Linked DNA regions of Notamacropus eugenii. The protein of the gene in region 1 interacts with the protein of each later gene in a pairwise test. Links are inferred from orthologs where the notes say so. Each region holds a gene or a part of one and is shown in the gene's direction. Other genes may lie near its edges.

Region 1 (7,045 bases):
TGTTACTTATATGTTAAGAAAAGATGTATATGAAAAAAATGGAAAAGCATGGGGGAAACTTGTATAAGCTGATGCGTGTGTATTCTTTCTTCGTTGCCGAAGAAGACCAAATGCAGAGAGAAGAAAACAGAACCAAGAAAAGGATATGTATATTATGACAATAACAATATATGCTGAATAAACAGAAAAAGAAACAGTGTTGGTCTAAACCAGAGTTGGTCCTGGAAAAGAGTTGATAAGAAGGGACTATAAGTATAGAATATTGCATATGTTGTCAGACGTAGTGGATATGTTAATTAGTTTTTGCTGAACTACTTTTTCCCCCTTTAAAAACACATTTGTTATAAAGGAGGGCTTATTGGGTAGGACAGGGATGCAATATTGAGAAATGATTGTGACTTAAAAACAAAAGTTATCAACAAAAATAACAATTTTTTTTTACAAAGATAAGTTTCTGATTCAGTTTCCTAAATGAAATTCCAGCCAACTTTTGTTTCTTTTATTTAATTCTGGAACCATCTCATTGTCTCTCTACATTTTTTCTTCACAATAAATATAATGAGGGACTAACTCAATGAGTTATATATCCAATTCCATATGATAGTCTGGGCACAAAGCATTTTTCATCTACTTGGATTTTCTTCTGTGGTTTGTTAGGCTAAACTCTTTTGAATGAGTTATGGATCTTATTAGTGAGGCTTTGTAGTGCTCTGTGGCTTTATTTTATCAGTACAGTGTCATCCACAAACAAGAACAGCTGAAGACCTCATCACTTATTGTGAATTTTTTCTTCTATTTGAACATATGGATATCCTCTATGACTCTGGTGAGTATTTTTAGCAAGCATATCTCTTCAGCTTTATTTCTTGCCTGACATTAATAATCAGACATTATTGGACAGAGTTGTCTGTTTTTGCTTCTGTCAAGGAATCTTAGCATGTATATAAGATGAAACTTGTTGGGGGAGAAACTTAAAACTTTGGGAGACCCAGAGGGCAATAGAAAAAAAAATATGTGCATAATTTGATGTCAGCATATTACCAAAATTGACGAGTGCATAAGAAGTGGCATAAAAATCATCCAGGAAATATATGGTCAGAAAGGAGCAGTAGATAAGATATTGAGAACTGGACTGGTATCCTTTGTAATGTTACTAGGAAGGCTTCTACTAGATTCTGTGAGTAAAATCCACCCATATCATCAGAGGAGAATACCTGCATTTAAGAGGATATAGATTCACTGAAATATTAAAGTATAACTCCTAGAACCAGACTTATAGCTGGAAGAGAACTTAGGGCCATTTGCAACCTATCTGTGAAGCATACATTCTCTTGACAAAATTCTCAGTTGTAAATACCTCACCTCAGAGGTCTAGTAGATAGAAAGCCAGCTTGGGAGTCAGGAAGACAGGGGTTCAAAGACCTTACTCTGACCCATGCTGTGTTACCATGGGCAAGTCACTTTACCTCTCAGTGCCTGAGATCACTCTCTAAGACTATGAAATTGTAAACAAGTTGCTGATCTACATTGGTGGAGGAGTTCTCAGATGTACAATATATGTAAATATATTATATATATGTATGCTTCATAAACATTCTATTAGATCAACTTTTATCAAGCATTTAGGATATGCAAAAGATTATGCTGGGGATATGAAGATACCAGTGACACAGATTCTCTTCTCAAGGTACTTAAGATGTTATATGGGGACTAGGGTGATATCAGTAATGGAGATGTAAGAATGTGAAAAGTACAAAGGAATTTTTCAGGCAAAGTGATATGAAAAATTTGGAATCAATTGGATAGAGTTAGGGAAGTCTTCATCAAGGAGAAAGTACATGAATTGTAGCTTGAAGGGAAGGATGTATTTCAGCCTATGGAGATTAACTGGGGGGAGTAAGGGATCAGTAGAAGTCCATTTTGACCACAGGAGGTGGTACAAACAAAATCACCAAGATAAATTAATCAGGAATTTATTAATCAGCTCTTGTGTGCTAATCACTGTGCTAGGCACTAGAAGTACAAAGACAAACAGTCCCTGCCCACAAAGAACTTAACATTTAATTGGGGGAATCAGCATGTATGCATTTAAGGATATGTAAAATACTGTCAAGGTAATTTTTTGAGAGCAGGGGAAAGAGCAGCAGTTGGACTGGATTAGGAAAGGCTTTATATAGGGAGTGGTGTTTGAGCTAAACCATGAAGAAAGCCAGGGATTTCAGGAGGCAGAGGAGAGGAGGTAGTAGTGCCAGCATGCATATAGGAGTTGGAATGTCATGTGTGCAGAACAGCAAGGTCTATTTGGCAGGACCACAGAGCATGTGAAGGGGAACAGTGTTACAATAAGACTGGAAAGGAAGCTGGAATCAGGCCATCAAGGGCTTCAAATGCAAATAAAGGCATCTATATTTGATACCACAGTCGAGTCAGCAAACGTTTATTAAATGCCTCCTATGTGCCAGGCACTAAACCTAGAGGCATTAGAGAGCCACTGGAATTTACAGAATGGAGAGTGACATTGCCAAACTCACATCATATAAATATCACTATTGGCAGCTACATGGAGGATAGATAGGGAAAAGGATAAATCTGAATAAAACAGGAAGACTAATCAGGAAACCAAAGCAATAATTAAGAAAAAAAAAAGATAATGTTGGAAGGAAGAGAATGGGAAATCAATCCTTGTATGGCTGAGGGAGGCAGAATAGATATCTCTAGCCTCTTTCATCCCCACCCTTCTCCATAGGAGACTTTCATTCCTGGTATGAGGGGACGTAGGAAGTTGGGGCCAGAGGTCACTACTCTGCTCTCCTTAGAGAAGATGGAAGAAGTTCAGGTTGCTAAAGGAAAAGACTCTGGGAAGACATGAAAGGAGGAGGTAGTCCCTATTCCCAGCTTGCTACTCTAGAGACTTCAGGGAGTATTCCCTTTGGGTGAGATCCATAACCTTCTCTTAGTTGAACTGACTTACCCCCAATGAAAGTGAGAGAGTTCTGGCCCAGAAATATATCTATGTGCTTCCTTAAATAATGTTCATCTAAGAGATAGGTTCTATCTAACTTTTGATCGCTTTATCATTTCTGGAAGGAGGGGGACCCCAAACTTTGTATCCAAGACTTGACTACTTTTCCACTTAATACTAGTTCCACAATGAATACACGTAACAAATAAACCTATTTATCCAAATCGTGGCAAACAGAAATCAGAGAAGGTCTACATATAAGAATATATACCAGGCAGTACAGAATGAAAGAACTCTCTTATTGAGATCTCCCCCAAGGGGAATACTCCCCTGAATCTCTAGAGTAGTAACTCTAGAGTAGTAACCCACTTCACGGGATTGGACTCTTTCATCTTATTTCTCAAAGATGGAAGTCAGGAGCACCCAAAGGATGAATCCCTGAAGGTGGACTGGTAAAAGTCTTTGATGTCTTGCCAACACTGTCACGCCCCTTGAAAAAGATTGGGTTTTCATCTCCATCAATATGAGAGTCACATTGGACTTGATAGGGGTTGTACAAGAAAAAAGTTGCTGAGTAGGTACATTAGAAAAAGTGGCTTGATGATTAAGGAAGAACTCATCATGTTTGGCATTTTGCTTTAGATTTGTGTTTTGCGTGTTCATACCATCCATTTATTGAGCTTACTATATATGCAAGGTTTTGAACTTTAATTGGCTTGTAAAATCTTACCTATTTGACCTGTGATGTCATGAACTCTGACTAGTCATCCTCTTTTGAACTAAACTATAATCTAATTATGAGAAGACAGGGCTTTTTCCTGTTGTAATCTAAGAATTGGGGCTAAAGGATAAGAGAGCAGGCAATTCTAGTGGTTAAATCTGATTTGCTTGTGTTTGTGAAGAGAGTTGAACTGCTCTAACAATTTGTCACCCTGTTAGACAAACTCTAGGTGCTAAAAGAGTTAACTTTCTTTATAGGAAGGTACTTCAGCTTGACAGGAACTAGGTGGTGGTGATTCAACAGGGAATGACACTCCTTTTCTGGCTGTTTACTGATTGGCTCTGTGTATTTGTAGCTTTCAGTTCAGGAAGCAGCTCTGAGCTGTCTTAGTGGCTAGACAGATTTACAGGTATTTCTGGCCCACAAAATCTTACTTAGTTTGGAAAGCTTTCTCTTTGGTTACATTTTTTTTTTTACCAGAAGAAATCAATTGAGAGGAATAAACTTGACTGAGACCTTCATATTTTATCCAATTGGACAAAATGGTACTTAAAACAGAGGAAGAGGAAGGTGAGTTCAATATCATACTCAAAACTTAACTTCTATTATAGGACGGAAAATTTCTGTATGTATGTTGACTAATAATGTGAAGCTTGAAGACAGAATTACTAGGCCTTTTGCCTTTTTTGGGTGGGGTTGAGAATTAACCAGGCTACGGTTTCTTCTTACTGCAGGGTTTCCACGTGAAAGGAAAAAATATAGTATAGGGTTTGTTTCATTTATCTTCACCTCCTCTTTTAGAAAAAGGGTAAATTAGTTGTCCCTGTTAGCTGTTCCTTTTTCACAAGTGTATTATTACAAATCAAATGATTTTCTTTGAAGTTAAACTCTCAGTGCTCATACTACTTAATTAAGGGGATTAACTTTTTCTCAGAACCTTCAACTCCTTTTTCTAAATTGGCACTTGGTCAGAAATTATAGAGGTTATGAAGCTGGGCTGGATTAGTTTTTTGACCAAGGTCAAGAAAGTATTTATCAATCATAATGTTTTTGACATTAACAAGTTGGGATCCGGATATTCTGTGTTAGGACTAAAAATCACTGATATTTTTATTCATTAAACATGATGAAAAAAGTACCTAGTATTTTGGCCTTCTTTCTTCTTTTTACAAAATTACTTTCAGATTATTTTGAAGCCTGATAGGTAGATGTGATAGGATTACTTTTTCCACCCTCACAGTAAATAGTGAAATTATAAGTAATATAAAGATATTCCTGTAATTTTTGGATTCCAGTAGATTTTCTATGAAAAGTGTGTCTGAGAGACAGTGTGTTTAAAGTTATGTTTTGTTTTTATTAAAATGATGTTCATGGAACTTTGAGTAGGTAGTAGAGTTTTGATATTATAATTTATCTTTAAATTACAATCAAAATTAATTTACACTGGCTTGTGTGAAACAATATGTTTTATTTTGGGAGGAAGACTACATCTAACCTTATAGTCATATAGTGAAGTTTTGCAATTAGAGATGGAGGCTGTAATAAAAATGCCTTTCCTTTTTATGTTGTTCCATATCCAGGATAAGGTAAAGAAAACGTATGTTCTTGACCTGTGAATGGCAAACTCATTTGTTTTTTGGCTCATTCATTTAAAAAAATTTATCAAGAATACACTTTGTGCTAGGAACTGGGGAGGTACAAAACTTTGATTAGACGTTATGCCCATCCTTAAAGTTTATAGTTTAGTAGGGGGAATAAGACAAATTCAGATAACTAATACACAGTATTATATGGGTACATTAAATAGTTGCTGAACAAAATATTATATGAAGGGGAAGACTGTTACTGACAAGGGATCAGGGAAAGCTTCATGGACAAGTGACGTTTGAGTTGGGGTTTAATGAACATATAGGAATTTGAGAAGTAGGTGGAAACAGAAAGACATTTCAAGCAAAGGAAACAATGTGATCAGAGACACAGAGGCGTGATTGGAGGACTGAGTCTGCTTTGACTGAGCTATCAAGTACATGGAGGGGAATAACATGAAATAAGTCTGGAAAAGTAAGGTGACCCTTTTGAGGGTCATGAATGTTAGCCAAGAAGTTTCAATTTAACTTTATAGGCAGTTGAGAGTTTAGATTTTTAAAAATAAATTAAATATTTATTAACCAGGATGTGACATGGCCAGATCTAAGTACTTGGTATATAACAGTAACAGTATGAAACAGAAACAGTGTAGTAACAGTATGAAAAGGGATGCAGGAGGACCTGTGGTGGCTATTGTTAACAGCCCAAGTATATGGGTGTAATGGCTACTTCTGCTGCTGCTATTGCTACTTCTACTATTATTATTGCTACTACTATCATCCCTACAACCTCATGTACTTTGCCTAATTTGATAAAGCCATTTTTCCTTTTTTCTTTTCTTCTTTCTTTTTTTACAAGACACTACATCCAGGGATGGTATTAACATAAGGATAGGTCCTGTGATTTCATTACTGTATTTCATTACTTTTTGTGCAGTTCTGGGGTTGAAGAAGTTACTTACTAAGTTTCTTAATGGATTACTTGATCATTATTTAGGCTGTTGAAAACTTCACAGTTTTGCTGGAGTAGGTATGTGGAAGTTGATTGGTCTGCCTCCCATTCAAGTAGCTATCTCAGTTGAAATTGAAACTCCTCCACTCACTCTTTTCTAGACATTTTACAATCTACATTTAGACATCATCACTAAACTGAAATTGCACTTTCCAAAGACCTCACTGATTTTATACGCCAAATTAATTGCCTTTTCTCAGTCTTCATTCTTCTTGATCTCTCTGTACATTTGACACTATTGACCACCCTCTTCTCCTGACTGCTCCTCTCTGGGTTTTCATGAAATTGCTCTTTTTTTAGTTCTTTTCTTATTTACTTAATCCTTTTTTTCTGTATCCTTAGCTGGATTTATTCCCCAAAATATCGTGCCTAGACAACCTCAGAGGTCTTCTCCAACTATATTATTCTTGAGGTGTAGGAGTTTATTTTAAAGGTAGAGCATGTAAGGACCAGGCAAGTTAAATGACTTGTCCATGGCCACATAGCTCCTAAGTAAATGAAGTGGGGTTTTAATCCTGATTGCAACTGTCTTTAAATACAGTGCTTTTTTCATTGTAGCATGAGATGCTGCCTCTTATTATTCCTGCTTAGGTAGTATAGTGGGAATAGAGAGGAAGAGTTGAATGTGATAGCTGGTATGGAGGCAGAACTGATAACTGGATTTGGGTGATCAGTGTCAAAGATAATCTCACATTTTTGAATATGATGGAGAAGGTGAGAAAGATGGTGTTGCAGGAAATAGTTAAGCTAGAAGGAAAATCATG
Region 2 (7,253 bases), about 73 Mb from region 1:
CTCTTTCACAATGGAAATGAGAATGAGCAAGAGGAAGAGTTACAACCAGGTGTAACCACAATGGGTCAAAATGTTCTTCCTCTTGGGTTGTGGCTTTCTCTGTAGCTGCTTCCTAGGCTTCTCCTCCTCTAGAGGAGTGTTTTTTGTTTCAACAATAGGCTGAGGTAATGGCAGATGCTTGTCTCAAAACCTGTGACCTCAGAGATAGGAAACTAACCTGGTTCAACTGAGAAAGTTGCCCTTCCTATGAAACACCTGAGGAGCTTTGATCCTGTAGCTTAACTACCAAGAGTTGAGCCACTTGTCCTGGAGCATGTTTCAAGGAGTCCTATATCATCATGGAATGCCAAATCACAGGACTCTGACTTCCTCTTGTGTCCTGAAGAACACTTCTAAGGCTCCATCTTTGTGTGTTCTTTAGTCACACTTATTGTAGGCTCTTTGGTCTCTACAATGGCTTCAGGCACTTCTGGCTTCCAGCTTTGAGAGAGAAGATAGATGATGCCACATGCTGCTTCAGATTGCTTCAGGGAAAGACTCCAGGAAGAGGCTGACATAAGAGGAGCTAGCAGTTTTCATCATGTCCTTGTCCCATCTTGTTATACTATAGACTTCAGGATCTTTTCCCCTTGGGTAAGATCTGGGACACTCTTTTTCAGTTAAGTTGAGTTGCCTCCCTCTCAACAGGAGAGCTCCTCCATTATGTATTGTCTGGTATATATTTTCGTATGTATACTTTCTTTGATATATGTCCTGCTATAGACTTGGATAAATAAGGTTTTTTGTTATTTCTTATGTATGCTTGTTGTGGCACTGGTATTTGGTTGGAAAGGAGTCAAGCACTGGATAAAAAGCTTGGGTCCTCTTTCCCCCCAATTAATGAACAGTAATCAAAAGTTTAGCTTGAACTTGAAAGCCATATTAAGAAGCAGTGCTTCTTAAACTGTGGGTTGAGACTCCATATGGAGGCGAGAAAAAATTGGCAATGGGAAAAGGTTTCTGAATGCACAATGACCAACATTTAATGAATCTGAGGTGTTTCTGGCAGTGCTTGCCTGTGTTGCAGTGGAAACTTCACTACAGCCTTGGTTCTGAACACAAAGCATGCGCACTTTCCACTGCACATATCCTTAGGCCAGGCAACACCAACAAAGGCTTCCAAAATGCATAAAAGTGGTCTCAGATGGAAAAAGTTTAAGAAACCCTGCCCTAGACTAATGATATTTAAGAGATCAGATAAATATAATTCTAGCCTGGTACCTTTTTGAGGAAAGCAGAATGGCCAGCCTTTTGGTCTCAACTGCCTATTTCTCCTCTTGGTAGGAAATAAAGTCTTCCTTGGAGAAGGGTGGGTGGAAGAGAGGCTAGAGATGTCTATTCTACCTTGCTTTGAGCCACACAATGACACCTCCCTGCTACATGTGGGGGCCAGCCCTTGTTACATATACTGTATGATGAAATGATGAAAGGGATGATTTCCAAGGCAACTGAGAAGACTTGCATGAATTTTGGCAGAGGGGAGTGAGCAGAATTTAGAGAACAAGTTACACAGCCACTATAAAGAAAAACAGTGGAAGGACTTAAGAGGTTTGTCAATGCAGTATCGACCAGATATTAGAGTGGATGCATGATGAAGCATGCTACTTACCTCCTGACAAAGAGATAATAGATTCACAGTTCAGAATGAGACCATACATTGTTGAACATGACGAATGTAGGGATTTGTTTTTCTTGGCTATGCATATTTATTATGAGTCTTTTCCTTCTTTTTTTGTTTTTTTTTTTTTTGAGGGGGGATTTGGGAAAGGAGGTTGTAAATAATAGAATTGTTCAAAAAAAAAAAAAGAAAAGAAAAGAGGGTAAATGAAACATTTTAAAAAGGCACAGAAGAGAATAGGAGGCCAGAAGGAAACACATACCAACAAAACAGCTTTGAAAGTTATATATTAATTTTTTTAATGTATAAAGCAAATTGCATGTAATAGGGATTTGTGGCTTTATATACAATTGTTTTTTTCTGTTCTATTTTGTATATGAAAATGCTCATTTTATTTGTTTGCTAAATTCAAAATTTTAAGAATAGAGGAAAGCAGACTAAAATGAAAATGAAATGTGTGTTACTGGTATTTCTTCTCATTATCTCCATCTCTCAGAACCCTGTACTACCTTTCCATAGAGCAGGAATGGAGCTTCTCATTCAGGAGAAACTGAGGGAGGATTGTCCCTCGCAAATGGATGCTCACCCAAATTAAGTGCTCCCAGAAATCATTTTGTTTTGTTCTCAGCCCATATCTGTATATTCACAAATCTTTTTTCACTTCTCCATAAATTTACCTTTCTTGTGAAATAAATGTCCAGAGACCAGAGTTCAGAAAACCAGTGAGGTTCAATCATTATCTAAAGGTGATAGGAATGACCAGACATCAATTTAATTTACATTTTAAATTCCTTTTCTGTCCATTTCTTTTTTTTAAAAGCAGCTTTCCTGTAACATTTAGCTTCTCTTAGGGCTGAGAGGGACTTAAGAGTAGTGAGTGACACGTGAGGGTCTCAAAACCTTTTATCATCTATGGGCCTCAAGAATACAGACACAGCTTAGAGAGCACAATGCCTGTTTGCTTCTGAAATCTCCTGTCAGCTGAAGTAAAAATCAAGTAATTCATTAGTTTCTTCATGTGATGCCAGCTACTGTGAAGGCTTCATTTTATTAGGAAGGACTCTAGTGAACTGGATTATTTTGATTATTTATCTTTGTGCGCGGAACTATCCTTTTCCTCTCACACCCCACTGTTTCCATGCCAGGACACGTAATCCGGCACTGCTGTCCCAGGAGTGGGGAACCTGTGACCTCAAGGTGAGGCCCTTTGACCAAATCCAAACTTCACAGAACAAATCCCCTTATTAAAAGGATTTGTTCCATAAAACTCAGACTCAGTCAAAAGGTCATACCCAAGGACCTAGAAGCCACATGTTGCCTTGAGGCTACAGATTCCCCAATCATGCCTAGTCTAAGCAAACCTCTTAATGAGAAAGAAGTAGGCCTTTTGAGGTTGGTGGACGTTGCAGATGTGGAGAAATGCCCGTACACCATAGTCACATGACCAATGGAGGGAGCAGAGAGCATGAGAATTTGGGGGAAGAAGCTCAGATTTGGGAGACCAGGGCTTATAGTTATGACCATTTTTGTACTGAATGTTATGATAACATGGAGATCTTTTCACATGAAGTGCTGCTATTTGAGGCAATAGATGTGACGGTCCCTGATTTCTTCTTACCGGTCATTTTCCATTTTGCTGGCCATGGTTGCTTTGAAAGCGAAGCAGAGAAGAGAGGGCTGGTTGGACTGGGCTTGAAAAACTCTGACTTGTTCCCAATGCCTTTATATTTCTAATTAAACCATTGGAAGAGCCTTCGCTAACGTCAGCATTTTGCTTGGCAGGTGTAGATTTTAAACAGAATTGAATAAAGTCTAGCTACCTCTACAAGTAGAGCTCTAGTCTTAACTGTTGTTTGGCTTAATTTTTTAAATTTGAAACCATTGAGTAGAAACATGAGATGGTGTTTTGTTTTGTTTTGTTTTTTCCTGAGAAGGTGCAAACCAGTGAACCCAGAGGAGAGTGCTAAGAGGGCGGGCTCCAGTGAAATGAGAGAGCCCTTGTAGGAGTGCTTAAAGGGAAGGATTTGTCCATTTTTAGCTTGCCACTTGTCATTTTTCCTGCCCTTGTGGGTCAAAGAAATGAGCTATAGTTGGAAGATATCTTGGTGAGTGTTGCTAAAGATAGACTGAAAAAGGATTCTTTTTGTTTGTTTGTTTATCAGTCTGCAGTTATGTTATTTGGTAGCCCATTATGAATGCTTGAGAAATGGGGGCAAAGGAGGGAAATTCATAAAATAATCTGAATCTGGGAAGGGTAGCTTAGTAAAATCAGACAATTGGATCTGATGGAAGTAGGGGAGTTAGGCAGAGGAGTTCTCCCTACATGTCTGTAAATAGAGAGCCTTTGCCTCCAAAACAGGAAACCAGAGCAGCCCAATGTTTTGTACATGTGTCCTGGAAATGAATACATTGGGCAATGTTTAGAATAAATGGAATGAGACAGATCGGACTTGCCTTCCCAGAATAGCTATGCCTGGGGTATTGGAATCAGAGAAGGGTTTAGTAACCATCAGAAGGAAGAACGATGAATTTAGGGAAGTACAGTGAAACTTCCTCTTCTTTCAAAAGCTTCATTCTCTGGTCTGCTTGTGAACCCTGTTGTTGTCTGAGTCTTCCCAGTAGTTTCTGCTTAAATGGAATGAAAACCTCAGCTGTTGCCCTCTATGTTATGAGTTTTCTGAATTTGGGGACACCTGAGTCAGCTCTTGGATCTCTCTCCCCTTTACTCCATGTAAGTAACATGACTCCTTGGTCTATGGAAGGGAAGCAATTGCTGGGTGTATATATTAGGGCTGCAAAGCTGAGGGCAGCCCAGGGATAGTCTTGATTTCTGTGGGTGTCTTCTAAAGTGTGAATCTTGAGAAAGTAGCTCTTCAGCTCAGCTCTTTGTAAACCCACTATGACAGTGACAGGATAAAAGGGTGGTATTGAAGGTGTCCTTAAAATGGGGGCTTATCCACAGGCAGTCACTTGAAAGGGCAGTGCTGTGTACTCAGGGTCTCTCTCCTGCTCTGAAATGGATGGAGTATTGATAGCTGTTTGGACCATCCACTGTGGGGCTGATTCAGACCAGCACAATGCTGCGTTTGTGTGTGTTCTGTAAAGTTCATTTGGGGGAAGTCTTGAAGTGACATCCCTGTCTGAGGGAGTGTGTGTTCTTTGTGCCTGATTTGCTGTCCATTCTCCATCCTTCCCTTCCCCCTGCAGTTAAAATTCCTCTCCCTACCCAGATGCCTACAGCTGGTGGGGATTTCACTTCAAGCAAAATCAACATGCTGAAGAACCATGGTAGGGATTGAAAGGAGAGCCAAGCATAGGCAAGGTGCTGCTTATTTGGTAGACTTTCTTCCTTGGGGCTTTGGGAGCCCCTCTTTAGTTTGTCTTTGTGTGGAGGACATTTAATTATTAGAGGAAAGCATTAGTTGTGACCTTTCACATAGCACCTTTGACCTTAATAGTATTTATAATTATTAATTAGCCACTTCCCTTCCTGTTTTGACCCTACCACCTTCCCAATCACCCAAGTTTTCAACTTCAGAGTCATCTTTGATTCTTCCTCTGCTCTCTCCCTTCCTCCCTCACATCCCGTTGTCCAGTCCTCTCAATGCCACCTTTGAAGTGTCTCTGGAATCTGTCTCGTTTTCACTCCCATTCAGGCCCTTGTTATGTCTTTCTGGACCATTCTAAGAGCCTCCTCCTAATTGCCCTCCCTACCATCAGTGACTCCTCTTTCTATTATGTACTTCCCATTCATGCCAAAGTAATCTTCCCGGTGCAGAAGTCTGATCATATCACTGTCCTGCTCGAAACTTTTCAGTGACTTCCCTGTTGGCTATAGACCTGGTTCCAACATCCCTTTAAGGCCCTAATTGCATGATCCTCCCCTTTAGAAGTCCGTTCCAGGCAAGCTGGAATATGAACTATCTTGCCCCATTCTGCATTGACTTCACCTGCTTCTGCCTTTCCTCATTCTTGGAACAACCTCTTCCACATCTCCACATGCTGAAATCATAGGGCTTGATCTCTATGGTACCTTTAAGAGCAATTTTAAGAGCAACCTTTAATACTCTCCCATTTTATAGATGAGGACCCTGAGACCCCAGGAGGCAAGTGGCTTGCCTGAGGTCGCATAAGTAGTAGAGCTGGAATTTCAAATTCAAGCCACTTGACTCCAAATTCAGTGCTCATCTTACTAAACCGCAAGTTCTCTTCCTTCACACAACTATTTCCTCTGGGAAATCTTCTTAAATTTTGTTGGAACATTCTAGACTGCTTCTTTACCTTAACCGGTCTGTCAGCCTTCTTAGATGATAAACTCTGGATGGACCTGCCATGCTGTATTGTTTGTTTGTTTGTTTACATTTGTCTTGTATCCCTCATGTGTAATACAATTATTTTATGAAATGTAGCAGCTGCTTAATAAATGTTCATTGGGTTGAATTGACTTGAATGCCTTGCATCTGCACAGCAATTTTCATGTTAGAAGGTGAATTTCCAGTGGAGAGCTCACTGGGTCATCCCAACAACCCTCTGATAGTATCCAGTATCTTTATTTTATAGGCGTTGAAACTGAGGCTCCGAAAAATTAAGTAACTTTCCCCAAGTCCACAGGGCTAGTTAAATGGGAAAGCCAGGACTTAAACTCAGATGCTGTGATTCCCAATTTAGTTATTGCTATGACACCAGAGAATCACAGGATTTGGGGTCTAGAAGGAATCTTACAGATAAATTCTCTAGATCAGTCCCTTGCTTTTACAGATAAGGAAACTGGAGCTCAGGGAGTGTAAGTGACTCACCAAATGCCACACACATATTCATTACTTGCCCAGCACTTCTCACTTATTAGCACTGTCCTAGGGATGGTATACATAATGGATAAATATTTAAATGGCAGAAAAAGACCTAATGCTTGCCTTCTGATATGCAAATATTGAATAAGATTTGAAAATAAAATTGTTCCTTCCCATTTCAAGTGAGGAAGGAAAGGACTGGAGTTTAGAATTAAGCTTTCTCTCTTTCTCTTTTCTTCTTTCCCAGTCTTTGTATCCTGTTCAATGACAGGAACTAAAGCTTGCCTTCTCTGCAGAAGTTGCGTGTTTCAAGTATTTCAGGTGTCCACTGCATGAAGCAAGCTCCCACTGAGCAGAGTGGAAATAGGAAGTTTTCTGCAGCAGCGTACTGGGGCAATGAGAGATAAGCTATTACTTCATGACTCCATTGCTTGGGTCTGCTTTCTTTTTGACTCCTCCTGGCCTCTGTTTGTAAACTCACTTCTGCTTTTGCATCCATTTTGGAGCCTAGGAGTGTTCCTGTTACACTCATCAGACAACAGCACTCTGAATGGGACCTGAGTTTACTTGGCTTTTTCTCCTTTTGTTGTTGAAGAAAACCACTGGGGTAATGCTGCCATTAGGACTCACAAACAATAAAGGTCTTATTATATCTTTTCTGTACCTCCTAATTGGCCTCCCTACCATCAGTGACTCCTCTTTTAATTATGTACTTCCCATCTATGCCAAAGTAATCTTCCCAGTGCATAAGTCTGATCACATTACTGTCCTGCTCAAAACTTTTCAGTGACTTCCCTGTTGGCCAT
Region 3 (6,950 bases), on another chromosome or scaffold:
GTCTTCAAATATTTGAAGGACTGTCACATAAAAGAGGAATTAGGTTTTCTTTTATCTTAATCCAGAAGACAAAACTAGGAGCAGTTAGGAGGAGCTACTTAGAGGCAGATTTAGTTTGAACACAAGAAATAATTTCTAAACTATTAGAGTTGCTTCAAAGTGAAATGGACTTCTCTGAGAGGTAAGGTGTTTTCTATCCCTGAAGATTTTCAAGCAGAGGTTAGATAATCATTTGTTGGGTGATATTGTAGAGGAGATTTCTGTTCAGGTATGAGTTCTGGGCTAGATGACCCTTGAGATTCTTTCCATTTCTGAGATTCTATAATACTATGGTCACTTACTATTCTCCACTAAGTTGTAAAATAACTATACTTCTATAGCTTAATGTGTCATTTGCAATAGGAAACTTTTCACTGTACTTCAAGAGTCTTTACATACAGACATCCTCAGGTAAGTACACTAGCTTATTACATCTCTGAGGTTAACACCCTTAGTGATAGACTCCAAAGTCAAAAATACTCCTACTCACTCTACACATGAGTACTTTTATAGATATCTCTCTCCTCTTTTGCTCTCACACACCCACACACATACACACAGAGAATTCTTTCCAAAAACTGATGTAGGCGCAAAAGTAAATAGAATAAGCGAAACAGTTAATAATTATTTCATTCAACTAGAAGTTCATGAAGTGGACAGATAAAGATTTTCTGCTTACTACAGATTTAAAAAGAGATCTGAGAATGTGCCATTTAGTCTCCCTCTGTTGGTTTATTTCCATTCCTTTCCTTCCAACAACATTGACTACCCAGACTTTTTTGACTTGGGCAAATTAAGATGCTTAAGAATCCAGTGGGGCGCTATCTTAGACTTGTACCAACAACAGAACAGAAGAGAGTTATTTTGCTATTGTCTCCAATTCTTATTTATTGGGTATATAAGATGAAATTGAATCCACTTTTCTATTATACACACACACACACACACACACATATGCATATATATGTCATAACTTAAGACCAATGAGTGCAGTATCTAGCTAATGGTCACAGTAATTATACCAATTTATCAAATTTCTGTGAATTAGTATGTGTTTATACTTGCCTTACCCAAGCTAACTGTTTTAAGAAAAGTCTGCCTATTTAATGGAACATATTTGCATTTTGCAAGTACTGTATGTTTCAGTTTTGCAAACCTTGAATTTCACCTCAGGCAACCAGGCTTATTAAATATTTTCATGTGCAGATGACCCTCCAAACCCTTAATTAAACAAATACAGTGAACCCACAAGAAGTTTGCATTGAAACATAGATGAACTGTTAATGTTCTTGGCTTTTCACCCTCCTCTCATGACTTTTTCTCCTAGGAAAAGAAAAGAATTGTATTAAGTGTAGTCTTAAACTTTTTTTACATGTTGATTCTAAGGATTCTTTGCTAATCTCCTCCTCAGTACCCCTCCCTGTTCTATGTGTCATATTCCAGTTAGTTCAGTGCGTTAGGACACCACTAGGAAGTTGGTAATCTTGGGTATCAGACTTTGCACGAGAAGTAATTCTCCTTGAAGTCATTTCCTTTTGTATGGTTCCTTAAGTAATCTTAGAGACAGCCCTTTGCAAACAGTGATGTCAGTTAAGTTTGTTTTTAGCGTCTACCCTACCTCCACTTCTCCTTTTTCATGCTTTTGTCCATTTTAACCTCCAGGGTCGCCTCCCACTCCTAGCTACCCACGTGATGCATCCTTCTTTTTTGAGTAAGTTGCTGATGCCCTGAACTTATCCACCTTAGTATTCTCTACCAAAGATTCCTGGTGGGGTTTTTATTCCTCTTGGGCTGCAATTCTCAAAAAGCAGATCATGACTTAAAAGTGTTTCTCCTTCCAGGAGTCTTAACATTTTCATAAGCATTAGCTTGACTTTAGTTCCCATTGGTGGAATTTCAGACGCCCTACTAGTTCTGGTGGAGGCCAAAAGTTCTTTCCCCGGCATTCTTGAAATAATGCCATGTAGTGTAGGCAGGGGAGTCAGAGTAGGCAGACTCTCTGGGAACATCGTGAGGGGTGTGTGGAGGAGAAGTGGAAGTGAAGGGAAAAAGGGTGAATCAAGGGACATTTTCCAACATTACTTCTGATAGGTATGTGTTCAGTCATTTCCCTCATGTTCAATTCTTTGTGACCCCATTTGGGAAATCTTTGCCATCTTGACAAAGATACTGGATTATTTTGCCATTTTATTTTCTAGCCCATTTTACAGATGAGGAAACTGAGGCAAATGGACTTAAGTAACTCACCCAGGGTCACACAGCCAGTAAGCATCTGAAGCCATATTTGAACTCAGGTCTATCTGACTCCAGGCCTGGTGCTCTATCAACTGGGCCACCTGGCTGATAAGTACGTGTAACAAACAAAAACAAAATAAACTTGCATGTCTTTAATACAGGAACATTCTGCTCCCCAGGCTATGCAGTTATTTATTCTGTATAACCCCAGCTGACTGTGTTACAGATGCATAGTAACATAGACCAGTGGTACAATTTTTAAACTTTGCCTAAGGTTCACAAGTGCTTTGTCGCAGTTCTGCATATAGGTGAGTATCTATTTTGACAACTGAAGTCAGCCCTTTGTAGCGTAGCCACATCATGGAGGCAGGATTGCTGCCATTTTGGGCACAATTTAACTCAAAACTTAGTTTCTACAGTTAGATTTTTCTTGGTATAATGGAATAGTATTTCTTTATCTGACTGGAAATGTTAAGGACATTAAGGCCTGGAAATGTTAATGGTGTAATCACATCTGAAATTTAAGTATTTGTGACAGTTTGGGAACTCATAGTATAATACAGTTGCCACTCTTGGTGATGCTGCTACCCATGCTAACTATGGAAACTTGAGCAGGCTTCTAAAAGCTTGGGATAGGGGCACCTGAAGGGTACCTCCTACACATGGAATAAGGAACTAGATTGTAAAAGTGTTCTTTTGTAGCTGAGTTGGCACACTTTTTTTTTTTGAGAAAAGGCCAACTCAAGATTTTACTATTTTCATTTAGCAAGCTCTGTTAAGACTGAATTGCTCTTGAATTAAGTGTATTTGGACTCAGTGCTAGTTTAAAGAAGTGTTATGCTATTTGAATTTTATGACTAGCATTCCAGGTGACTTTGAGGTGCATGTTTGGTCTAGTGCATAATTTTATATTTATACATACATACATACAGACAGACAGACAGACAGACAGACTTGTGGAATTTTAGTTTTGGAAGGAGCTGTAGTCACTTTCCAGCTCAAACCTGACCATATTACAGATGAGAAAACTGAGACCCAGGGAGTTTACATCACTTACCCAATGTGCATAGTTAGTTAGTGACTAATAGTGCTAGAACACAGTTCTCTCTTGACTCCTGGTCCAATGGTTTTTCTACTAAACCAGATTCCTCCTCCATGTTTGATTTTTATTTCATAGAATCACAGAATTCAGCCATGGGATCTCAGTGTTGGAAGGAACTTTGGAGACCGTGTATTTCAATCCCTACGTGTCAGGAAGTCTCTGTAACACTAACAACTCTCATTTATGTCTCCCTTTAGGTGTGGAAAGCAATTTATATGCTTAGCTAATTTCCAATTATATCCCCACCAAGTTATGATTAGTCATTGATTGAAGACCCCTTTACTTCCCTCTGCCACTCAACCAAGTTATTCCACTCTACATCCTCCAAGAATTAAAAGAAAAAGAAAACCTCATAGTCAAACTTACTTTCCTAGATTGGTTCTTCTGCCAATTCTGTCTATCCCCAAACCAATTGATCATACACTCTTGCCATCTTATTTGTCTGCTGCCAAGGCCCCTGGGTCCTGGACACCTGCTGACTCTAGGAAATAGAAAAATCTGCTGATGGGAGTTGACCCTGCTACCAAATTGGGCCTTTCTAGTTCACTGCCTTGTATTAAGGTAAATATTTCTGTTTAGGTAAAAGAGAAACATAACAAAAAGACTGATGAATGGTTACAGTCTAAGGGGAAGGTATAATGAGTCTTTGATGAGCATTGATGGGCTAGAGCGTACCATGAGGGAAGTACATTACAGGAAAGAGAGGGAGAACATCGTGACCAGTACCTGCAATTCTCGCGGAAAGTCTCTGGAGCTTCATGACCACACATTTTGACTTTTGCTAACGTGAAGTGTGTGTATATGTGTGTGTACTTGGTGTGGGGAGAGGTCTGGGGAATGGGTTGAGAAAAAATGTGACAGCATTTAGCAAATTAAACTTGAGAAAAGTGCCCCCCCCACTGAAAAAAAAAAGCAGATGGTATTTTGAACACAAACTGTCACAGCACATGAAAGCATAAGAGTTCTGGCCGTTGCCAAGAGTGAAAAAAATAAGCTGATTTTCTTTAATTGCAAAAATTACCTCTCAGCTCTCTCATGGGCTTAAAAAAAAGGCACCGAGAAATGTGAGTGATCTGCAAAAAGGGATTTGTGTAACAAGCACCTCCAACCACAGAAGTCACATGAGACTCTTTCCGCTTTGCTACTTTTGATTGCTTGTCAAGAAGGTTCTACTTTTAATTGTCCCTGGCCAGCAAGGCTAAGCGATGTGTGAGCTGGAGTGACCTTTATGCACAATGTCTTTCCCAAGGCCTATCCAGCAGAACAAGAATTTGGACTACAGCACAGGCCCAGCTTATAGCGTGTACTCTACGCCCACAGGTAGCCCACAAGTGGATAATAAAAGGATTCAAATGCTGGCAGACACAGTGGCCACTTTGCCCCGGGGACGAAAGCAGGTACGATGACCGTTTTGTACTTTGGGGAATTTAAGCCATCATCAGGCAGTGGGCTCCTCACTCAGCACCTGCCCTCCAAAAGGATGAGCTGAGATGCTCAGGCAGAACTTGGAAAGGAGTGTGGCTGAGAGGCAGGGGTACTGGGTGCGAATGGATACACTGGGTACACTGAGATGCTAGTAAAACATAAAGCCAGGTGTGACAAAGATATTTCTGTCCTTCACTGGAGAAGTGCTCAGGAAGAACTGAGGTCCTTAAGGTTATTGGATCATGTCGCTCTTTCTTGCTCTCTCCCCCACAGCCTGTGTGACTGCCCTACTACTGGTGTGTGTGTGTGTGTGTGTGTGTGTGTGTGTGTGTGCGTGTGTGTGTGCGTGTTTCTGTCCCTGTCTTCCTCCCCCTCTACCCCATCTGTAGCCATACTAAGAAGCACTTTAAGATCTTAATCATATTAGGGTTTGGTTTCTGCAGAGTTCGCTAAACTTTTACAGATCATACATACAGTTCTTCAGCTTTCATGCTGGATTCTGGGTAAGGTGTTTCGTTTGGGGTAAGATGATGATTCTGAAACTATTCAGCCAAACCGCTTTGAGATTTGTCAGTTTATTCTGCATCGTTCACACTGTTAAAAAAAAAAAGCCAAACCCTTATTTGTTAAATAGATTAAAAAACAAACCAGTCATAGTTCCTTTGCTGGTTCCATTACTACCAGCCATTAATGACAACTCTCTTCCTCCCTATTCCTTTCCCTAGTACCCTAATCTCATGTAGGACTTTGTTTATACCTGCTTTATGAACCTATTATGTATTATACTTTTTTTGTGTCTGTATTATACACTCCTACTAGACTGGAAACTCCATGAGGTGAAGCCCAGTGATTTATCTCAGTTTTGTATCTCACCCAGGCCTTAGCAGAGTATTCTACTTTTAATAGACAATAAATATTTAGTTAATAAACTAGTAAAGTAAAATCCCACCTAAATCCAAAACAAGCTCGGTTCTGTACCTGATTCAGGATAGAACTTTTTAAAGTAGAAAATATTCTGAAACATTTCACAGTACAAATCATCATCACTTAATTGTATATTAGCAATTGTGTACTCTCCTACATTCTGTTGTTATTGTTCTTTTTTTGGTAATGTTTTAAGGAAGATCAAAGCAGATAATAGATTTAAACTTGGTGGGCTACTTTGTCTGATCCATTGTTTTCTCAGGAATCTTTAAGAAGGTGTCATTTGCTTTGGTTTTGAGAGATGTTTTTTCTCAATTTGGAAAAGTTTGTTTTTCTTTAATGGATACATGATGAAAATTCTTATAATCAACTCCCAACATGTGTATTTGACAAAAGAGGTACTATAGATTGAAACAGAATGATAACCCATGTTTTAATTAATGCTGGTTTTAGAAGAATTAGATATAGAGTTAATAACTAATAATTTTGTCACCCAGGTTGAGCAGCATGACTTCAATTCTCAAACCCTTTAAGATAAATTCATTTGCAGTAGAGAGTTAATCAGAGATCCTGGGATACAAGGCCTTGTGTAGGGAGAGACCCTGGTATGCTAACCTGTGTGTAGGGATTGGGGTGGGTGGGAGAAGAGGGAGAGAGATCTTGTGATTCTGACCCTTATAGACTGAAACTCAGGTCTATATAAAGGCGACTTCTGGAGAGGAAACATGCCATGTGATAGTTCATATTTTAATGACTTATTCTTGCTAACTAGGTATTAAGTTCATGTGCTTCTGTGTTGCTGAAAGGATGTCAGTGCTCTCGAGTTTTTGGTACCCTAGGACAGTGGTGTCAAACTCAAATAGATATGGGCCATTACACTATGTATACATGTATACATACATACATACATACACACACATATATATACATACATATAAAATCACACATTAACATTAGGTTCTACCGTGTTTTTATTTCTTTTGTTTACATGCTTCCCAATTACGTTTTAATGTAGTTGAAGACACCAAGGCAGCTTGACACTTCTACATTAGGATGAGTCACTCTACTTGTAGTTCTATTACAGAGAAGCGTACTACAGTGATACTTATAATATGGCAGTGTTGGGCGACTGGTTAGAGCATCATGTTATACTTGGAAAGTAGACCTTGTCTTTTCTTGTAACTTTGACATTAGGGCTAGGAACTCTCCCACATTTTACTCCTTC
Region 4 (7,581 bases), about 250 Mb from region 1:
CCTAGAGAACAGAAAGGCATAGAGCCCCCAGGGACATCTCTGGAGTTCCCACTGAAAAATCAGTGAAGTTCCTTCACTGATACAGATTGCCACTCACTTCACAGCTGGGTTGTTGTTGTGTTTGTCCATTTTAGAAGAGAACCGTGACATCAGGGAAATGATGGCATGACTGGCTGTCATTTGAGGGAGGAAGGGTTGTGCAAGGTCACCAGCCTCACTGTTCCCTCCAGAGCCCCACTGGATCCAGTGACCAGATATTTGCAATGGAAGACCCTGACCCTGTTAGGCTAAGGCCTAATCAAGTGATCAGAGTAAGGCAACACCCATTCAGTGAACAGTCCTCTTTAAGTAGTTACTCAAGGGATGGCCCCTTTAATCCTGGGAGGGCAAGTCCCTCCTGCTTCCTGGGTAAAAGACAGTTACTGTTTAGTCTTTATACACTCCCACAGCTGGGAAGATCAAATCCAGCTTCAGGAGCTTCCTACTGGGGGCTCAGGACAAGCCTTTCCTCCCCTGCTCTCTACCTCAGTCTCCTCAGTGTAAATTAGGGACAGTAACAGCACCCTTCTCACAGAGTTGTTGTAGAGCACATACATGGTGTCTGGTATACAGTAGGTGCTTAATAAATGCCCATTCCCTCTCCCTCTGAGCCTGTTCTCCAAGATAACTGGGGTCTGCCCACCGCCCCCATGCTGGCCTCACCCTCTCAGTCAGGTGCTGCTTCCTCCAAGGCTCTCAGGGGAGGCTGGGCTGGGGAGAAGGATGGCCCAGCACAGCGAATGGGCGGACACCCACCCTTGTGACTTGGTGTGCAACCACAGTCCTGAGAAAACAAGCAGCGGACAGATCCGTGGGGCTGGCTTCAAAGCCCAGGGCCATGGGGAGAGGACAGGCCACCACAGAAACTTTGCTGCTGAGTCCCAAGCAAGGCTAGATGAGGCCAGCATAGGGCCAGTGAGCAAGGTGCTAAACCACATTGCTCAGGAGTGTTGGCACTGTCCTTCCGCACACTCCCTCATATCGGCCTTGAGTGGTCTGGCTCCCCAGGAGTATCCCCAAGTAATACACCAAGGGTGGTATGTATGCCTCCTAGAGTCTGGAGTAGAGGGTTGGCATTCACAGACTAGAAATGCATCCAAACCAGCATTTGTGGCAAGGTGTCCTGCTATGAGATCCTGGGTCTAGACCCAGAATGGCTCAGAGGCTTTGGATCCAACAATTCTAGACCCAGGGAGATGAGAAGGCTGGAGGTCATACCCTGCAGGAGGTGGCCAGAGGAGCTGGAAAGGCTGGGGGCAGGCTAGCTGTCCTCAGACCCCTGAAGGCTGTCACATATTTGCTCTGCCCAGCCTTCCTCTTGGAGCACAGGGGAGCAAGGGCAGATTTCCAGCCAAAGGAAGTGGCTTCAGTAGAGGCAGCAAAGCGTGGGACAGCTCCCCTGAGGAGGAGGTGGTCAGGTCCTTGACCCAGGAGATCTAGGGGGAGGCTGGCCAAGTACCTGCTGGGCCTGTCGCCTTGTGGGGGCAGCGGTGTGGGGTAGGGAGGAGCTCTGAGTACTTTTTCGGTTCTGTGTCTCTGGTTCAATGATTCTGGCAGTCAGTCTGGGAAGGCATTGGTAGAAAGGATGGGGGGCTGGGGTCTAAATAAAGAACATCCTTGAAGGCAGAGGGAATGTGACCATGTCTGCCACTGTCCAGAGGCTAGCCTTATTATAGCCAAGCACTAGGAGAGAGTGGGTCTCCCTCAGACTAGCCACCACTCCCTCTTCCCAAGTAGCCCCAAACCAGCCCCTCTGAGCAGCACCAGACTCTTTCCTCTCCACATCCACTCACAAAGTCTCTCCCTTACACATACCCCAAGGACCTCAGGGTGTCTTCAGTCACTACAGTACCCCAGAGCACCATGGGGAGTGGGCCTGCTCATATCTGGGGGTACCAGCCCCCTGTGGCCCTCCACGTCTGACACCAAGTCCCTGAGATAACCCACAAGCAAATGCAAATAGAAAAGAGACCGAGAAGGGCATGGTCAGCCAGTTGGGAGGAGACCCAGAATAGGTCAGTGGCCTAGTGTCCAGGAGCAGAGGGATCGAGGATGTCCCCTGCTGCCGAGAGGGTAAGAGTAGAAGCGGGGGGCCTCAGCAGAGGAGAGGAGGCTTGTGCTAGGGGAAAATAAAAAGGAGGGCCCAGGAGAGGGTGGCCAGCAGGACTGTGTCCTGTGCCCTGGCAGCCTGGTTGGAGCCCAGGGCTTGCTGTGGGGGCCAGCCCTTGGTAGAAGAGGAAGAGCAAACTTAGGAGGCATGAGGAGGAGGGAGAGATGGCCTGAGGGGAGGTCAGAGGGAGGAAGGGATGTCAGGAGTTCGGTTTAAGGAAGTGGAAACCTTGTGGTACCATCAGGAGTATATTGGTGGATATGAAACCTTTCTGTCCAACCTCTTCAAGACAGCTGGCTAGTCATGGGGTCTCTGGGCCAAGGGAGATGGACACTTTAGTCATTTCTCTTATAGCATCATTCCAAATTGCTTTCTAGAATGGTTGACCCAGCACCTACTCCACCAACAATGCACCAGTGTGCTGGTCTTTGAGCTCACTTTTGTCATTTTCAGCATCTTGTTGGGTGTGAGAATTCTTGGGGGGTTCTTTTCTTAGTGATTTGGACCCTTCTTTCATAGGGCTGCGTGTGCTCTGCCTTTTTCTCTTAAGGCCTGGGGTGGGGGTGGGGGGTTGTTGATGACTTTTGAAAAGAGAGACTCATCATGAAATTGGAATAACTTCATCCTGAACAGATGGGTGGGAGAGGGCTGGATTCAAATCCTGCCTCTGACGGGAACTAGCTGAGCTGGTCCTCTGTCTGGTTAAATAGCCTATCTGGTTAAATGGTGCTGTGGTGTCCCAGCCATGGGATTTTGTGAGGCCCCAGGGAGACAGAGAGCTAGAGCCACTAAGTCCCACCCATTTTACAGATGAGGAAACTGAGGCACAGTACCTTACCCAAGGTCACACTGGCAATGAGGCGTGAACTGGGTCTTCCTCACCCCAAGTTCAGTACTCTGTGCGTGATGCCATCTTTGCTGGGAAGTCTGGTCATGTACGTTTGTTTGCATGTGTGCACATGTCCTGTCAGATCACAGGTCCAGCTGAGGCTTGTCACCTGTCCCCACTTAGCACTGGGGCACCTTACTAAGCATCCTTCCTGGCATCCTTGAGCCCAGAGCTCCCCTGCCTGCTCCCTGGACACAGATGACAGTAGGATTCCTGTTGGGCCACCATGAGGTTGGGGTAGGCAGTACCTCCTTTCTTCCAGGATGGGAGGTGGGAAGTAGAGCCGCAAACCAACAACAGGCATGATGCTTTTGTCTGGTCTTGGCCCATGCTGAGCCCCCTTTGGCCTTGCCCTGAAGGTCTGGGGTACAGGCAGGCAGAGGAGATGACTGCCTTCTGGCAAGATGGTTGGGAAAGATACTCTTTTGCCCCCACTGCCTGTCCTGGGCCCGTTGGCCTTGGGTGACAGCCACCCTGAGACACATCCTTTTCAGGCAGAAAGCTTTTCCTGTTTTCTGGAGAGCTCACATCAAATGTAGGTGCCATCAATCAATCAATCAATCAATCCATCAATCACAAAGCATTTTTAGGTACTTGCTGCTTGCTTGGGGGCTAGCTGACTGGGGGGCGGGAGGGAGGTGGCAACTGCTGGGGCAGTAACCAGGGAATGGCATGGAGGGAGAAGGCCCTGACTCATGAGCCTGGAACATGCCCTGATCCTCCCAGATGGGCTCTCTCTGGACTGCCTGAGTTTTCTTCTCCCCTTGGATCAGACGGTACAGTCCTTCCAGCTTCTGGGCCTATGATTGTGGAGAGAAAGTGGTCCAGGAGCCCCTGAATCCTGGTTCTTAGCATGCCTGATCAGCACACTGCTCCAGGCAAGGCCTCAATCTTGGGCTGCCTCTCCACTCCTGAGCAGAGGGGAAACCCTTGTAAGTGTCTGGTTGGTTGGAGGTCACTTTTGTTCCTCTCAGTAACTCCCAGGGCTAAACGCAGTCAGCCCAGCCCTAGCACCAGTTCTGACAGAAAGAGAGACCAGAGTGGGTGTGTGGATCACTTGGTAGAAAACCATCACCTACACCAGAAAACCACTCAGAGCAGATGTCACAGCTCCTCCTCCAAGGCCTGGGGCCAGGAAGCAGCCACAGGGCAGGCTGGGCTAAGCTGGGATTCTAGCAACTGAACCAAGGAGACCCATGGTCAGCTTACCTTCCTGTACCTCATGCCCAGCTCAGAGACAGGCCTGCATGCCAAGGGTGACCCAGAAGAAGACTTTGGGGGCAAAGCCAAGAATCATCTCCAAGCAAGATGGTGAACTCCAGGAACTTCCCTTCCCCCTCCCCTGCTGACTTTGGCTCTTCCCTTACCCCATTCTCATTCTCCTGGGTGCGCTTAGTTCCCAGTCAGACAGTCACTGAGGTGTTGGCAGATCAGTCATGGTGAAGAGATGAGGGATAAGGTCTAAAGAAGGGGGCCCACTTTGGGTATAATGGTTAAAGAAAGCAGAGCTTTCCTTGCTCTGGCCCTAGCCTCTGCTGGGCTCCAGGAGTGTTCCCCTGGGGTAGCCCTGCCCATACTTGTGCCAAACAGGTAACCTCCATAAACCACAGTGGCTTCTGGGTAATAGCGGGGGCAACTTTGGGGACAACACTCCTGTGCAACCTTCCTTGCTGGGGGCTTCCCCCATCCAGGCAGACTCAGCATGGCCTGGAGCACCTATTCTGAGACCTTCCCTCCATCCCATCCTGGCCTCTTCCTACTCAGAAGCCTCTTGGCTTCTTTGGGAATCAGTTGGAAACAGAGGAAACCACTGAGGTTGCATCTCCATGGAATCCTGCATCAGCCCTCTTTCCTATGGGTAGGACTTCCTTTCCTCTTGACAGGGACTTTCCTGGTCCCTCAGCTGCCACAGAAGCTCCTTCTCTTCTCCCTCAGCTTGGGCTTGGCTACCCAGCTGAATCAAGTATTACCAGTGCCATTAATTCAAAGCTAATTTTGCTTGGGATTGCTCAGGACATTTGAAATTTATTCAGCATAAAATACGTGATAGGACTAATTAATATGATATTATATAAAAACACTAGAGTTTTTGAAATTGAGGGAAAGGTCAGTCTGTGTCAGAAACATTTGTGGATGAGATTATTTTAAGGGGAGTGCACTTTGATTATCTTCAGGTACAAAAAGCAGACATAGAAGTCAAGTCTTAGGAATGTCCACCCATTTGGGGGGTGAGCTGGTATTGGCAGTGAGGCCATCTGGGATTTTTTTTCCTGATCATTCTGTCTTCTACTTTCTTTGCCATCTTGAAACTCAGTCCATCGGAGGCTTCTTGCCACTCCAGCTTGGACTTCCTCTCTGGGGCATGCTTCTCCCAGGCCAGTTCTCATAGTCACCTCTCCTTTTCTGCTGTCATTTCTGGTTCCTTACATCCCACCTCAAGATGTGAGGGGCTGCTGCGAGTCCCCAAGGTGTGGATCTCCTTTCCTCACAAAGGAGAATAAGTCATTATAGAAACTGGCAGGTCTCCCCCATTTTCTGTCCAGTTTGGGGCATCTTAATGTCATCTTCCAGTGCTCATGACCCTGAATCACATGCCCTCGTTATGGTGGCATTACAGTGTTTCTTCCAAAATATAATTGTGTGAGTAAATACGAACTCCCCTTCTCTTCTTGATGGGGCCTGAACCTGCTGTTTCCCTGCCAACGGCTCCCACGCTTTTGCCTCCCTGCCAGGCTCGCCCAAAGTTGCCAGGGGCTAGGCCCCCAGTCTCAGAGGTGATGTCTTGCTACAACTTCCTGGTCATCGCCCTGGTGGGGCTGCTGATTCCACCATCAGGTGAGTTCCACTGGCCTTTCTTTTATCTCCTGCTTTGAGCTGTGAAGAATCCTCACAGAGAGGGACTGACAGTCACAGAACCTGAGCAGATTAGTGCAGCAGAGGAGAGCTTAGTGATCGTCTAGTTTATTCCCTCATATTACAGGCTGGGAAACTGAGGACCAGAGGGGTTCCATTCAACTCAACACACATTGATTTGATTTCATTGTTTTTAATTAGCAAAAACCTATTTTTTCTTCTTCTCCCCTAAAACAAAAAGAAAAACCAAAACCTTTGTAACCACCAATACAAAGGAATCATCAAGTCAGATTCCCAGAATGACCCAGAAATGGGAGTGTTGGAGAAAGCTCCCCTCTATGCTCCCAGGGATAGGGTCCTTATGGGGGGTGAGGGGGAAGGGGAAGGCCCAGGCCTAGGCTCTTGGGCTCCAGGTTTAGGTTGGTTGGGTTAGGGTGATTACATCGATGGCCCCAGGAGCAGCTTCAACCTTTCTGACCCAGACCCACCTGGGGGATGGGAGAAGAGAGGATGAGGGCAGGTGGACAGGTTGGGGCTAGATGGAAAAGTCTCTTCAGTTTGAATGACTTGTTCTCTGTTCCAGTTCTTTCCCAGGAATGTCCCAAGTACAAAGTCAACACCTGCCAGGAGTGCATCAAGTTAGCTCCAGGCTGTGCCTGGTGTAAGAAGCTGGTAAGACATCATTCTGGCAGCACTAAAAATAGCAAGAAGGGGAGGGAGCCCAAGACTTGTCCTGCCTTCAGCTTTCTCTGCTGACCCCACTGTTTCTGGGCTTGTGAGGGCCTACACAGGTCCGAGGCCCTCTGCCTTCTGGGTCAGGTCCTCACGGGCTGTGGCCAGAGACATCCTCAGCCTAAGGACCGGAAACTTTTGCTGTGATCAGTGAGAAAGATTTCAAATAATCCCACTTAGAGGTGATAAGCCTTAAAAAGCTGCCCTCTGAAGTGGAGTCATGGAACATGCCAGGCAGGCCTGCTATGGATCAAGGAGGCTGAGCCAGGAAGTCTTGAGACTGCCTGGCAGAACCCCAGCTAGTGGTGGGTTTGACCAGCAAAGGAGACAGAAGTGAAAGGGAAAGTTCAGTTTCCAAGTTGGAGATAAATATGAAGGAAAACCACCCCAGTGTTTAGACCAGTGGACATCCTCCTTTCTCCTGTTCATGAGGAATTTTGGTAAGGAAACAAAGAAAAGCCTGGACACAGAGAGCCAGTCTTAGACACAGAGGGGTCAGTCTTGGACACAGAGGGCTAGCCTTGGATGCAGTGGACCAGTCTGGGACACAGAGGGCCAGCCTTGGACAAAACAGGCCAACCTCAAATGTTTCAGCGTGGCCCCTGTCCCAGGCTTTAGGATGGCTCTGTGCCCTCATCTTACCCCAGACCCAGGCCCCTGAGTTCCAAGTTTTGTTTGGTTGGTTGGTTTTGGGGGGGGGGCGTGGTTGGGCCAGCTAATAATGACCCCACTACCTTGTACCAGTCACTGGGGTCCCAGGTCACATCCAGGACAGAGTTCTTCCTTTCAGCTGGGCTCAGCTGCTGGTATCCCTCTCTTTTTGTCCCTCTCATCTTTTCCTTGGTTCCTTTCTCCAGAATTTTGCTGAAAGAGGCGAGCCTGATTCAATTCGCTGTGACACCAAACAGCAGCTCCTACAGAAGGACTGCCAGGAGAGTGACATCGTGGATCCCCACAG

What was found.
Region 2: the proteins of CYTH1 (region 1) and IPCEF1 interact in binary tests that used the Homo sapiens proteins (3 or more experiments, as listed by UniProt). The link is inferred for Notamacropus eugenii from reciprocal best matches to the Homo sapiens genes CYTH1 and IPCEF1.
Region 3: the proteins of CYTH1 (region 1) and CYTIP interact in binary tests that used the Homo sapiens proteins (3 or more experiments, as listed by UniProt). The link is inferred for Notamacropus eugenii from reciprocal best matches to the Homo sapiens genes CYTH1 and CYTIP.
Region 4: the proteins of CYTH1 (region 1) and ITGB2 interact in a two-hybrid assay, tested with the Homo sapiens proteins (2 studies listed by BioGRID). The link is inferred for Notamacropus eugenii from reciprocal best matches to the Homo sapiens genes CYTH1 and ITGB2.

The regions. Positions count from the first base shown.
Region 1 is NC_092873.1:320,236,748-320,243,792, reverse strand, and holds the start of CYTH1 (cytohesin-1), read left to right. Parts: upstream 1-4,028; 5' UTR 4,029-4,225; coding exon 4,226-4,253; intron 4,254-7,045. UniProt on the Homo sapiens protein: Promotes guanine-nucleotide exchange on ARF1, ARF5 and ARF6. Promotes the activation of ARF factors through replacement of GDP with GTP.
Region 2 is NC_092873.1:247,206,297-247,213,549, reverse strand, and holds the start of IPCEF1 (interactor protein for cytohesin exchange factors 1), read left to right. Parts: upstream 1-4,242; 5' UTR 4,243-4,388; intron 4,389-7,253. UniProt on the Homo sapiens protein: Enhances the promotion of guanine-nucleotide exchange by PSCD2 on ARF6 in a concentration-dependent manner.
Region 3 is NC_092876.1:216,345,785-216,352,734, reverse strand, and holds the start of CYTIP (cytohesin-interacting protein), read left to right. Parts: upstream 1-3,943; 5' UTR 3,944-4,611; coding exon 4,612-4,773; intron 4,774-6,950. UniProt on the Homo sapiens protein: By its binding to cytohesin-1 (CYTH1), it modifies activation of ARFs by CYTH1 and its precise function may be to sequester CYTH1 in the cytoplasm.
Region 4 is NC_092873.1:70,161,132-70,168,712, forward strand, and holds the start of ITGB2 (integrin beta-2), read left to right. Parts: upstream 1-4,561; 5' UTR 4,562-4,740; coding exon 4,741-5,001; intron 5,002-5,770; coding exon of another isoform or gene 5,771-5,873; intron 5,874-6,474; coding exon of another isoform or gene 6,475-6,485; coding exon 6,486-6,563; intron 6,564-7,480; coding exon 7,481-7,581.